3 linked regions of the Xenopus tropicalis genome follow. The protein of the gene in region 1 purifies or fractionates together with the protein of each later gene. This does not show direct contact. Links are inferred from orthologs where the notes say so. Each region holds a gene or a part of one and is shown on either strand. Other genes may lie near its edges.

The links.
Region 2: the proteins of chtop (region 1) and prmt1 purify together in Homo sapiens (affinity purification with western blotting; 7 studies listed by BioGRID and IntAct, with this or other methods). This does not show direct contact. The link is inferred for Xenopus tropicalis from reciprocal best matches to the Homo sapiens genes CHTOP and PRMT1.
Region 3: the proteins of chtop (region 1) and erh purify together in Homo sapiens (affinity purification with mass spectrometry; 3 studies listed by BioGRID and IntAct, with this or other methods). This does not show direct contact. The link is inferred for Xenopus tropicalis from reciprocal best matches to the Homo sapiens genes CHTOP and ERH.

The regions. Positions count from the first base shown.
Region 1 is NC_030684.2:144,108,129-144,112,332, reverse strand, and holds the start of chtop (chromatin target of PRMT1 protein), read right to left. Parts: upstream 2,905-4,204; 5' UTR 2,795-2,904; intron 925-2,794; 5' UTR 908-924; coding exon 843-907; intron 1-842. UniProt on the Homo sapiens protein: Plays an important role in the ligand-dependent activation of estrogen receptor target genes. May play a role in the silencing of fetal globin genes.
Region 2 is NC_030683.2:111,008,939-111,011,993, forward strand, and holds part of prmt1 (protein arginine N-methyltransferase 1), read left to right. Parts: intron 1-886; coding exon 887-988; intron 989-1,065; coding exon 1,066-1,221; intron 1,222-1,869; coding exon 1,870-1,933; intron 1,934-2,013; coding exon 2,014-2,156; intron 2,157-2,437; coding exon 2,438-2,525; intron 2,526-3,050; coding exon 3,051-3,055. UniProt on the Homo sapiens protein: Arginine methyltransferase that methylates (mono and asymmetric dimethylation) the guanidino nitrogens of arginyl residues present in proteins such as ESR1, histone H2, H3 and H4, FMR1, ILF3, HNRNPA1, HNRNPD, NFATC2IP, SUPT5H, TAF15, EWS, HABP4, SERBP1, RBM15, FOXO1, CHTOP, MAP3K5/ASK1, MICU1 and NPRL2.
Region 3 is NC_030684.2:109,825,685-109,829,779, forward strand, and holds the start of erh (enhancer of rudimentary homolog), read right to left. Parts: upstream 2,843-4,095; 5' UTR 2,738-2,842; coding exon 2,735-2,737; intron 2,526-2,734; coding exon 2,438-2,525; intron 1-2,437. UniProt on the Homo sapiens protein: May have a role in the cell cycle.

The sequences.
Region 1 (4,204 bases):
GGGACTGGCGGCCAAAAAACGACTGCTCTGCAAGGCTACTATTTTATTGCAGCGGTTACTTATTTTTTCTATTTAAGTCCTCTCCTACCTATATAGCACTACCTGGTTGCTAAGGTAATTTGAACCCTAGCAACCAGATAACTGCTGAAATTCCAAACTAGAGCATTGCTGAACAAAAAGTGAAAAAAAAAAAAAACGAAGACCAATTGCAATTTACTCTCTACATCATACTAAAAGTTAACTCAAAGGTGAACTTCCCCTTTAATACCAACTGCACCAGTTACGGGAAAGACCATGGCACGAGAGGGGTACAGATGGAACAGGAAGGCATGAATGGGATGGTTAAACCCCAGGGGGACCCCAAGAAATGAGGGGGTGCAAGAGCAGACACATGCAGGGAATGGACTGAGCAAAGCGGTTGCCTCTTACAAGACCCTAGAACGAGGTTAAAGGGCCTCTGGGCAGGGAGAGAGACCCCCGAATCATGCCTCTTACAGGAGCGACCACACGCGGGCATGTGTCGCCCCCCGGGCACGGCAGCGGGTGTAACGCAGCGCAGGTAACATGCTACCAGGCCGCAGCTGAGATTCTGACCCATGTACATACGTGTGGAAGAGAAGGGGGGGAGTGAGTGTATCACATTGCCTGATTATACTTTACCAACTGCTAGTGACAATCTCACACACAGGCCCGGCCCCCTGTGGTACAGCTGCCGCAGCAGCGGGCGCCCACTTTTGTGTTTAAGGGGGGGTGGGCACGGGGCGAGGCATGCCCATGTGAGGCAGTGTGAGACACGGGCTACATATGCTATAGCAGCTGCCCGGCCTGTGGGGCTTCCTCACCGCTCATTCAGCGACAGCTTTGTGGTACTCTTTAGCACAACTTTAGATGCAGACGGGGCGGCCATCTTGAAGTCTGGCAAACCTGCAAGGGACACAGCAAAGTTAGTCACGTGTTTGTAACACACAGTCCCCTTTACTCTAAACAGGGAGTGTAGGACATGAGCAGCACTGGTACCGACCCAACCCTGCCCCCCCCCGAACCACTGTCCCATAAACAGAACTATACCTCTCAGCCCCCCAAAGCCCTTTAGTACCCTGCCCCCCCCAGAACCACTGTCCCATAAACAGAACTATACCTCTCAGCCCCCCAAAGCCCTTTAGTACCCTGCCCCCCCCCCAGAACCACTGTCCCATAAACAGAACTATACCTCTCAGCCCCCCAAAGCCCTTTAGTACCCTGCCCCCCCCAGAATCACTGTCCCATAAACAGAACTATACCTCTCAGCCCCCCAAAGCCCTTTAGTACCCTGCCCCCCCCAGAATCACTGTCCCATAAACAGAACCTATACCTCTCAGCCCCCCAAAGCCCTTTAGTACCCTGCCCCCCCAGAATCACTGTCCCATAAACAGAACTATACCTCTCAGCCCCCAAAGCCCTTTAGTACCCTGCGCCCCCCCAGAATCACTGTCCCATAAACAGAACTATACCTCTCAGCCCCCCAAAGCCCTTAGTACCCTGCCCCCCCAGAATCACTGTCCCATAAACAGAACTATACCTGCTCAGCCCCCCAAAGCCCTTTAGTACCCTGCCCCCCCAATCCCCCCCAAAGACTAACCCTCTCCAACCAAGCCTTTAAAACCCTTGCCCCCCCCCCCAAAGCCCCTTAGTACCCTGCCCCCCCCCCCCCAGAAGCCCTTTAGTACCCTGCCCCCCCCCCAAAGCCCTTTAGTACCCTGCCCCCCCCCCAAAGCCCTTTAGTACCCTGCCCCCCAAAAGCGGCTAGGACCCTCCCCCCCCCCAAAGCCCTTTAGTACCCTGCCCACCCCCCCAAAGCCCTTTAGTACCCTGCCCCCCCCACAAAGCCCTTTAGTACCCTGCCCCCCCCCCAAAGCCCTTTAGTACCCTGCCCCCCCCCAAGCCCTTTAGTACCCTGCCCCCCCCCCAAAGCCCTTTAGTACCCTGCCCCCCCCCAAAGCCCTTAGTACCCTGGCCCCCCCCCAAGCCCTTTAGTACCCTGCCCCCCCCCCAAAGCCCTTTAGTACCCTGGCCCCCCCAAGCCCTTTTAGTACCCTGCCCCCCCCCAAAGCCCTTTAGTACCCTGCCCCCCCCCCAAAGCCCTTTAGTACCCTGCCCCCCCCCAAAAGCCCTTTAGTACCCTGCCCCCCCCAAAGCCCTTTAGTACCCTGCCCCCCCCCAAAGCCCTTTAGTACCCTGCCCCCCCCCCAAAGCCCTTTAGTACCCCTGCCCCCCCCCCAAAGCCCTTTAGTACCCTGCCCCCCCCAAAGCCCTTTAGTACCCTGCCCCCCCCAAAGCCCTTTAGTACCCTGCCCCCCCCCCAAAGCCCTTAGTACCCTGCCCCCCCAAAGCTTAGACCTGCCCCCAAAGCCCTTTAGTACCCTGCCCCCCCCCAAAGCCCTTTAGTACCCTGCCCCCCAAGCCCTTTAGTACCCTGCCCCCCCAAAGCCCTTTATACCCTGCCCCCCCCCAAAGCCCTTTAGTACCCCTGCCCCCAAAGCCCTTTAGTACCCTGCCCCCCCCAAAGCCCTTTAGTACCCTGCCCCCCCCCAAAGCCCTTTAGTACCCTGCCCCCCAAAGCCCTTTAGTACCCTGGCCCCCCCTCCCAGCCCCCCAAAGCCCTTTAGTACCCTGCCCCCCCAGAATCAGTCCCATAAACAGAACTATACCTCTCAGCCCCCCAGGCCTCTATGCCCAGGGGCGTGGGAAGCAGTTACCCCCGGCCCCCCATTCATACCCCAGCACCGAGCCCGGTACCCCCTCCCCTCACACTCACCGAGCGGCTCTGGAGTCCGGGGTGCGCTTGGCTAACGGACGGGATCCCCCCAAATAAAAGCAAGAGGGCTACGGTAGCACTGACTCTCCCTGCCTATCGCTCTACTCCCGACACACAGCACAAAATGGCGCCTAACACTGACCCTACGCCGGCAAAATGGAGGCGGCTTTAATGCGTCGAGCCACGTATCTCCATTCCCCGCCCCTTCCGAGCCTCTTAGTGGATGGTTACTATGGATACCTGCCCGGGATGGGTGTCCATCTTGGGAAGGGAAATGCGCTACAAATCAACGAGAGGTCGCCGCCATCTTGGGATGGGCACGCAAAACACTCACCTACATAACTGACTAGTTTCATTTTCAGCAATTGCGCTCTTTACATTGCAGAATCTCAGAATGTAGGGGTTGCTAAACTATATCTGACGTTATTATTAGCTAAAAAACAAAACTTTGTTGTTTCTGAGGTACAGGTCCTGAACTGAACTGTGTTACATGTGCTGCTTAATGGCAGCATTAATGTGTCTATGAACATTCCCATTCATCCAGGCCATGATATACAGTATCTAGCAGAATTAAGTCTAAAGCAACTGGACTTTTCTGAGTTTTTTTCTTGAAAACATTTCACCACTCATCCCAGTGGCTTCTTCAGTTCTGAAGAAGCCACTCAGATGAGTGGTGAAATGTAAACTCAGAAAAGTCCAGTTGTTTTTAGACTTAATTCTATAATGTCTTATTTTCACAGCCGCTGGTCTTACATATCAACTGGACAGGCCTAGCAGAACCCACTGATGGTACTGGACTGAACTCCCATGTTCCACACTAATATAATGGACCATTTCTCATGAATGTCTCCGTTAGGCAGCACACACTAATGTCTTTGTTAGAAGCCGGTCTCATTCCCAAGAATGTAATAAAGTCACTTATGTTGTCTTGAAGCAGAGAGCAGACAGCAAAAACCAATAGGAATGTGTATCCAAGCTGGGACCCGGTATTAAGCGGATATTTCCAGATGGTACCTGGCCGTCCATAAACAACACCCTGTCCTTAATTCTTCATGTCAATGTGGAACTCTGGGTAATCAGTTGTGGGGGGGGGGGGCAGGTAACCGAGCACTATGGCATTGTCCCATTTACAAGTGGGGAATCCCCTTACCGGGAATGGATTTGCCCTTCTATCCCTCACTAATACCAGCGCCCTCCCCTGTGGAACCTGTGTGTTGGGGCAAAATCGTCCCACTGGTAAAGGAGCAAGAAGCCCCCAGGTACCCGTGGGCCAGCAACTCACAGTGGCCAGAGAAATTATGTTTACAGACGTGTTCTCGGAACTCCCTGGTAAGACATATAAAGTAGGAAGAGACCCAGGGGTGAAAGTCAGATCTCACCCCTCAAAAGTCTAATAGTGACTGGCATAGC
Region 2 (3,055 bases), on another chromosome or scaffold:
GCAGTGCTTGAAAGTCTCTGCCCCAATGGAGCTTACACTCTAAGGTCACTATCAAATTTACACTATGGTCTGTTTTCTCAGGGACCAGTTTACCTGACTGTTTTGGGAGTGTGGGAGGTAATGGAATAAAGGAAACCTGTGCAAGCATGGAGAAAACATAACCTCAAATTTTTCTTTTGTAAGAAGTTTGCAAACTTCAGTACCTGGATTTCTGCATTACTCACATTATCTGGTTTTCAGCTATATATAGTTATTGATAAGTCTAATTACAGCACCCAGTTACAGTATTTACTGTTTCAAAGTAAACATCTGGCCGCTATGGGTTACTCTACCTGTACATATGTTGTGCCATTTATGAAAAATGAGGCGTAACTTGCTTAAACTAAACATAAATTGTTTATATAGTCTTTGGTTGTGCCATGGCATCTCTATTGGATTGAGATTTGGGCTCTTTGCCATTCCAGAACACAAGTTTTCTTCTGTTGCAAATTCAAAGCATATGTGTGATAAATGCAGACATTCAGGTAATGGTTGGTAATTTACAGTTGCAGGAATACTTTCACTATAGTTTGCTGGCTCTTTAAGACTGTACAGAAGGAAGGAGTATTATAAAATGGCTTCTACTGTGACAGTAGCTGTCAGCATTTTGGCCCACAGCTGGGAAACATGGCATTCTAGAAGTTATTTTTACCATCTGCATTCTGTCTCTAGGTTGTAGAATTAATCTAATCATGAGTGATGTGAATGCAATATGAAATTGAAACATCACAAGGCAGTAATGTGGTTCTTCAGGCACCCATATTGCTTATGTTAGGTGTCTTGTTCCTTGGAGGTCTTGCCTGTATATGGGTGTCTAAGACTTATGCATGCATTTTCTTATTTGAAGGTTTCTTGTACTCAGCCTGAGAGCAGTGTGAAGCCAAATGCGGAGGACATGACATCAAAAGATTACTACTTTGACTCGTATGCTCACTTTGGCATCCATGAGGTAAGTTAACCCCTGCGTAGACTAATATTTTAAAGATAACTGTCCATGAGTTTTTCTGATCCATTTTCTTTCTGCAGGAGATGTTAAAAGATGAAGTTCGAACGCTGACATATCGTAACTCAATGTTTCACAACAGACATCTATTTAAAGATAAAGTAGTCTTGGATGTTGGGAGTGGCACGGGTATTCTCTGCATGTTTGCAGCAAAGGCTGGTGCCAAGAAAGTTATTGGGGTAAGATAAAAACCTCTACCCCATGGGGTTGCGATTTAGAAACGCTGAGTTTTTTTTTTAGGCATGTTCCCTGATGCATCCAGCTCTACTAGCTAGTAGGTGGTATAGAAGTTTGTCCTCTTACATTCCCCTGACTGGTGCTTGGTAGTGTGCACCATATATCTGAATATTTCTTATCATAGTCCCTTTCCTGCAGGTGCTGTGATGCAGTATTTTTAATATAGCGTATATTAGACACTGACACAAGAATTTAAACCCTTCTTTAAAACAGGACATTCTTTGCATGCATTAATAATTTTGCCATAGAAGTGTTTGCCCAGTGCTTTTACATTACACAGCCAATCCCCATTTTCCATTGAGGGGGCTGCCATTTATGCAGCAGTAGGAGTCAGTTGGCATTAGAAGCTATAACTGACAGGTTGAGAAGGGACAGTCAGGTTGGCAAAACACATTTAGGAACATCAAGTACTTAAAAATGATCAGCATTGCCTGTAACTTATGTACATTAATTGAGGAGTAATTTTGTCTGTATCCATTTAAGTTTAGGGGGGGAGGAATGTTGAGGCAGAGAGGGGGTAAGTGGGTTGGATACATACAATTGTATTTGTTTAAATCTTCTCAACTAACACTACATTCTTTTTCACTTAGATTGAGTGCTCAAGTATATCTGACTATGCCATAAAAATCGTGAAGGCAAATAAACTAGATCATGGTAGGTAACAACACGGTTGTCTTAAGTGCATTACTGTTTCCATCTAGACTGCATTCTAACCACTTATTATTCTCCTTTAGTGGTTACAATCATCAAAGGCAAAGTAGAAGAGGTGGAGCTCCCAGTAGAAAAAGTGGACATCATAATCAGTGAATGGATGGGATATTGTCTGTTCTATGAATCAATGCTGAACACTGTTATCTATGCACGGGATAAATGGCTGGTAAGTTCGCAAGAAGTGTCAAGAACGAGTATCTTGTATTTAAAAATGTAAACAGTTTGTTGGATTTGATTGTGCCAATGGTGCTAAGGCTCTCTGCATTGTTGTACCTAATACAACAATGCTAATGACATTACATCAGCTATTACTGGGTTTACACCAGTGATAGCTGGATGTAATGTAACCTTGTATATACACTTGCTAAGGAAATGTATACTTTAGTTGAAATGCCAGAAGTTTTTTTTTTAATGCCATGTGCTTCTATGTACTTGCATATCTTTCAGACTCCAGATGGGTTAATATTTCCAGATCGTGCTACACTGTATGTAACTGCTATTGAGGATAGACAATACAAAGACTACAAAATTCACTGTAAGTCTTATTTGCTGCTTTGGTGCCAGTTTTGAGTTAAAGCAAATCCATGCATGTGAAAGCCCAGTGGCATCTCTTCCTATATGTGTGTTTAATATACCAGATTTCAGTGTGACTGGTGTAAGTGCCGATGTGTTGCATGGTACAAATTTCCATCATTCCCAGCTATAATAAGTATTGGCACTGTTATGGAGATGAATGGAAATGCAGCTGGGCAGACTTAGATTATGTATTCCTTAAATATATAACTGCACTGGTCAAAGTTCTGCCTAACCACTTCATTTCTATGGTTAAAGCCCATTTTTATATTTAGACTTTTTTAGTCAGTTCAAAGTTAGTTCTTGCTATGCATTAATGTATGGCCTTCTACTGTGCCCCCAAAACTTTGTAACTTGTTTAAAACCAGTCCAGAACTGCTTTGAAAAGGGGTTTAACTGCCTCAACACAATTTGTCATGTACTTTGCTTCCACAGTAAAATTTTTACATCCATCCACTTTTGCTCATTATACCAATCTTTATTGCAGGGTGG
Region 3 (4,095 bases), about 34 Mb from region 1:
TATCGCATTACAGTGAGTTTGAGTAGTTCCTTAACTTCAACAAAGGATGGATTATAACAAGATTAATTCCAACAGGGAGGTGATTTAAATCTGGGCTTTATGATCAGTAGGGAAGAAGGTCAAGGTAAGAACAATCTACTTACTTCTCTATATAGAAATATGTTAAATCTTTGCGTTTGCACACTTGCGAGAAAGGCACATAATTTTATTAAAGCCAAGGTTCCACTTGTGCTATTTAGGCTTAGACAGCAGAAAAATGCCACAAGGCGTTTATAATACGCAAGAGTCAAACATCCATTTAAACAGTGCTTAGTAACGTTATTTGTGTCACATGACACATTGAAACTTATGTATTATAAACAAAAAAATATGTACCCCCTTTTCCAAAATTAAAAAAATTAGAATTTGCCAAGGTGAAAAAGCCAAAGGATTTTGTGCTTTTATACAGGTTATGGAACTTTTAATATACTCAAGAGCCATAAACATCCTGTAGCCAATATGCTTACAGAGTGTGCTTAGTGATGTCATAGGTTATACTCGGTGCTTAGTGATGTAATCTGTCACATGACTTACTGAAAACTGTGAATTATGAAAACAATGTACCCTGTTATAAAATTACAATAACGATACATTGTTGTCTATATTATCTACAGTTTGGCCAATTCCCTACGGCATTGTAAACTAAACTAGAGACCATTTGCCTGCCCGTAGTATAACTTCTCCTGCCGGATTGTCTGCCTCCTCAAGACCCGCTCAATCAAACACTGGCCCCTCAGGCCTGAATCAACTACTTTACTGCGTCCCCACCAAACTGAACAGCCAGACCCTCCCACCTAACCGCCTGCTCAACAGCAACAAAGGGAAAAGCAGATCTGACTATAGTTCCAGAAGAAACAGGACTTTGAAGAAATGGAGAACAGTGAAAGTGTGGGGGGGGGGGGGGGCAGACACATGGGAGAAAGTGTGGGGAGCAAACAGAGGAAAGGGAACAAGGGGAACTGTAAAAGGGAGGTAAACAAAACATAAGCATGGATACAACTATGCCCCCTAGCCACCCTGAGCAAAAGAACAGCATACTGGCAACTATCCCCCACATCTGTGAGGAGGGGAACAAAATGGAGGCAGAGGTGGAACTATGCTACCCACAGGGCCCCCACACCACTTATATCTGTGGAGCCCTCCTGCCTCTCACACATTGGGATCCTCTCCCGCAACTCACAATATAACCCCGGGGGTTCAAAGGGGGGGTCTAACAGGTCAAGTGCTGGTCGAGAGTTTAGGTTCCAGATTCCGCCTTTGACCCCTAAGGCCTGCAGATTGTATTGAGGATGTACCCAGTACTAACATTTATGAAGATAATAGAAGTCACCAAGGAGTCACATGACCATATACACCTTCTGAAAATACAAGGTCATGTTTATCTTATCTATAAGAAGGGGTACATTAGTCACTATATACTTTAAATTTAAGGAAATATTAATCTTTATACAAATATAACTGGGGCTGGCCAACCTAAATGGGACAGACACTAAATGCCAGTCGGGGTAAGATTTGGGGAGAATGACTATACTTACATGCCCCGTGCGAAACATCGTCAGATCAGCCACACACCATTCAGGGCTGAATCGGCAGGTAAGGAGGTAGAAACAATAGGATTTCTACCTCCTTCTGCCGATTCAGCGGTGAAGGGAGATTTTGGTCAGAATTTGGTCAAAATTTTCAAACTGGTCCGATCGGCGAGTCGGCCGATATCAGCAGCTTCCTGCGATATTGGTCGACTCGCCGACATACCATACACGCACCGAATATCGTACGAAACCTCGTATTATCGGTGCATGTATGGCCACCTTAAAGCTGGCCATACATGGTAAGATTAGTTTGCTTCGCAAGGTTGCCAAGCAAGCTGATCTTCTCTCGATATGCCCAACTGAGGGTGGGCACTATTGGGCTAATCTAGTTGTTGGGCCCTGGGGCCAAACAATCGAAAGAAAACAGCGAGTATAGGCACGGGTGGATGCGGTCCCGATTTGATGGAAAAATCAAACCTGCCCGATTGAGATCTGCCCAATTTCAGGCCAGACGTCGTCAAGAAGGCCCAATAAGCAGATAAGCTGCAGAATTAGTGTAAAGGCCCAATATCGGCAGCCAAAATTAACCCATGTATGGCCACCATAAAGGTCAGTTACATACTCAGGGCTGGGGGAGGGGGGGAACAATTATTTCCTGGAGATATCAGAAAAAGCGGATATAAAACATAGCTCTGATCAAGGCTACAGTGATAATTGCCTAAATGAATGTGGGGGGGGGGGCTGCCTAAATCCTGGGCAGTAAAGGAGGTTTGGGCGGAAAACCCCGTGCTGTAAGGAATGTATAGAGTGCGAGTAACCCGTAGCTACACTTCCCTTCCTATCAAGCAATAAATGTGAGGCTAACATACCTTCCATGCATTCATTCACCGACTCGTAGTCTGCATAGGTCCGGCCCTCGGGTCTCTTGGTGGGCTGTACGAGTAGGATTGTGTGAGACTGCAAGAGAGAGGCCGTGTGAGCTCTACAGGCAAAACACAAGCAGAGGAGCAGCTGCAGAGCCCCGGGCCGAGGGGGGCCTCCATCGCTACATTATGGGGCCGCGCATCCCGCCCCCTGGAACTCAGGAGCCCGCCGCGGCCTGCAGCTGCTTCTCTGCGCCCTCACCCGCTAACAAGCCCCGCCGCCCAGCAGCCATTCCTACTCACCATATCTGCGCTTTCTACACACCGCAACTTAGCACCCGAAGCAGCAAGCAGGAAATGGAAAGTCGTGTTTCCGGCGGAAGTAGTTAGATTTAAACGCTCCAGGTATCATACAGCGAGACTAGTATGGGAGGTCGTGGCGGCCATGATTAATAAGGGCTCGGGGTGTAATATGACTGTACGTGTATTTTATTTATATAGCGCTGTATGTATGTATCGCTGTGCAACAGCACAATAATAAACAAGGGGTCATTACAATAATGAATAAAAAGTACAAGAGCTATGTGTCAAAGAGACAAGAGGATGGAGGTAACGCCTTAAACTATATAATAGTTAAATTTAATTGTTATATATTTTATTGTTATATATTTTATTGTTATACATTTAATTGTAAATATTGTTATACGAGTTTATGTCGTTTTCTGCGACGCTTTTCGCCTGTTTGTAACTACTAAATGCTTATGTGCGCCACAAAGGGGCGTGTCTCTGTCTTTATGTTTATTCTATCCACGCAGCGCTGTCCGTCTATCTACGTTCCCTACTGTGACGCCATTGTCCAGCTAACCCGGAAGTAGTCTCATGTAATGACACCATGGCAGCCGCGGCTCTGAGGCACAGCAAGATGGCGGTGCGTATGTGCGAGAGCCACTAAGGTTCCTGCGGGCTGTCAGAGTCTGTTGAACAAGCCGGAGCAGATTTTTGGGCTCAGCGGTAAGGAATAGCCCTGTGGTTCGTATTCGGTTTGAGCTGTTCCGGACCGGCTGTGCCTGTCTGTTAGTGTGTGAGTACCTACATTATTTATCGGTATAGTGCACTGATTGGCAACCTCGAATGGGACAAGTCTTGCTGAGCTACACCTGCCATGGGCTGAAGTATAGGCAGGGAGTAGTTTTGTGTATATGTTTTATGAGGCTATTTGTAAATGACAATAGTATAGGTAAATGTAATTTATATCCACTATGTGTCTGTATAGTTGTATACTGGCCCCAGTATGCATAGCATCATGTCCATTCCATGAGCACAGATCAGAGAGACCATGGAGTACATACCATAGCAAAGGATAAGCATCAAACTGCACAGGAAGGTTATATCTAATCTTTCTATTAATAGCTGTAGTTACTAATAGCATTAAGGGATATCAATTGGTAGGTGTGGGTGTCCCAAAGAGCTCACTGTCTAACTAAGAGTAGTGGAACCCCCCACAGACATGGGGAACACAATAGGTTTATGGGAGAGTAAGGGGAAAGTGTGTTAGCGGCTAATGAAACGCTTCCTTTAACAAGTGGTTTTATGATTGTTCATTACTGGGGTAGTTCACCTTAAATTTAACGTTGAGTTAAATGTAGGCAGTGGTATTCTGACAG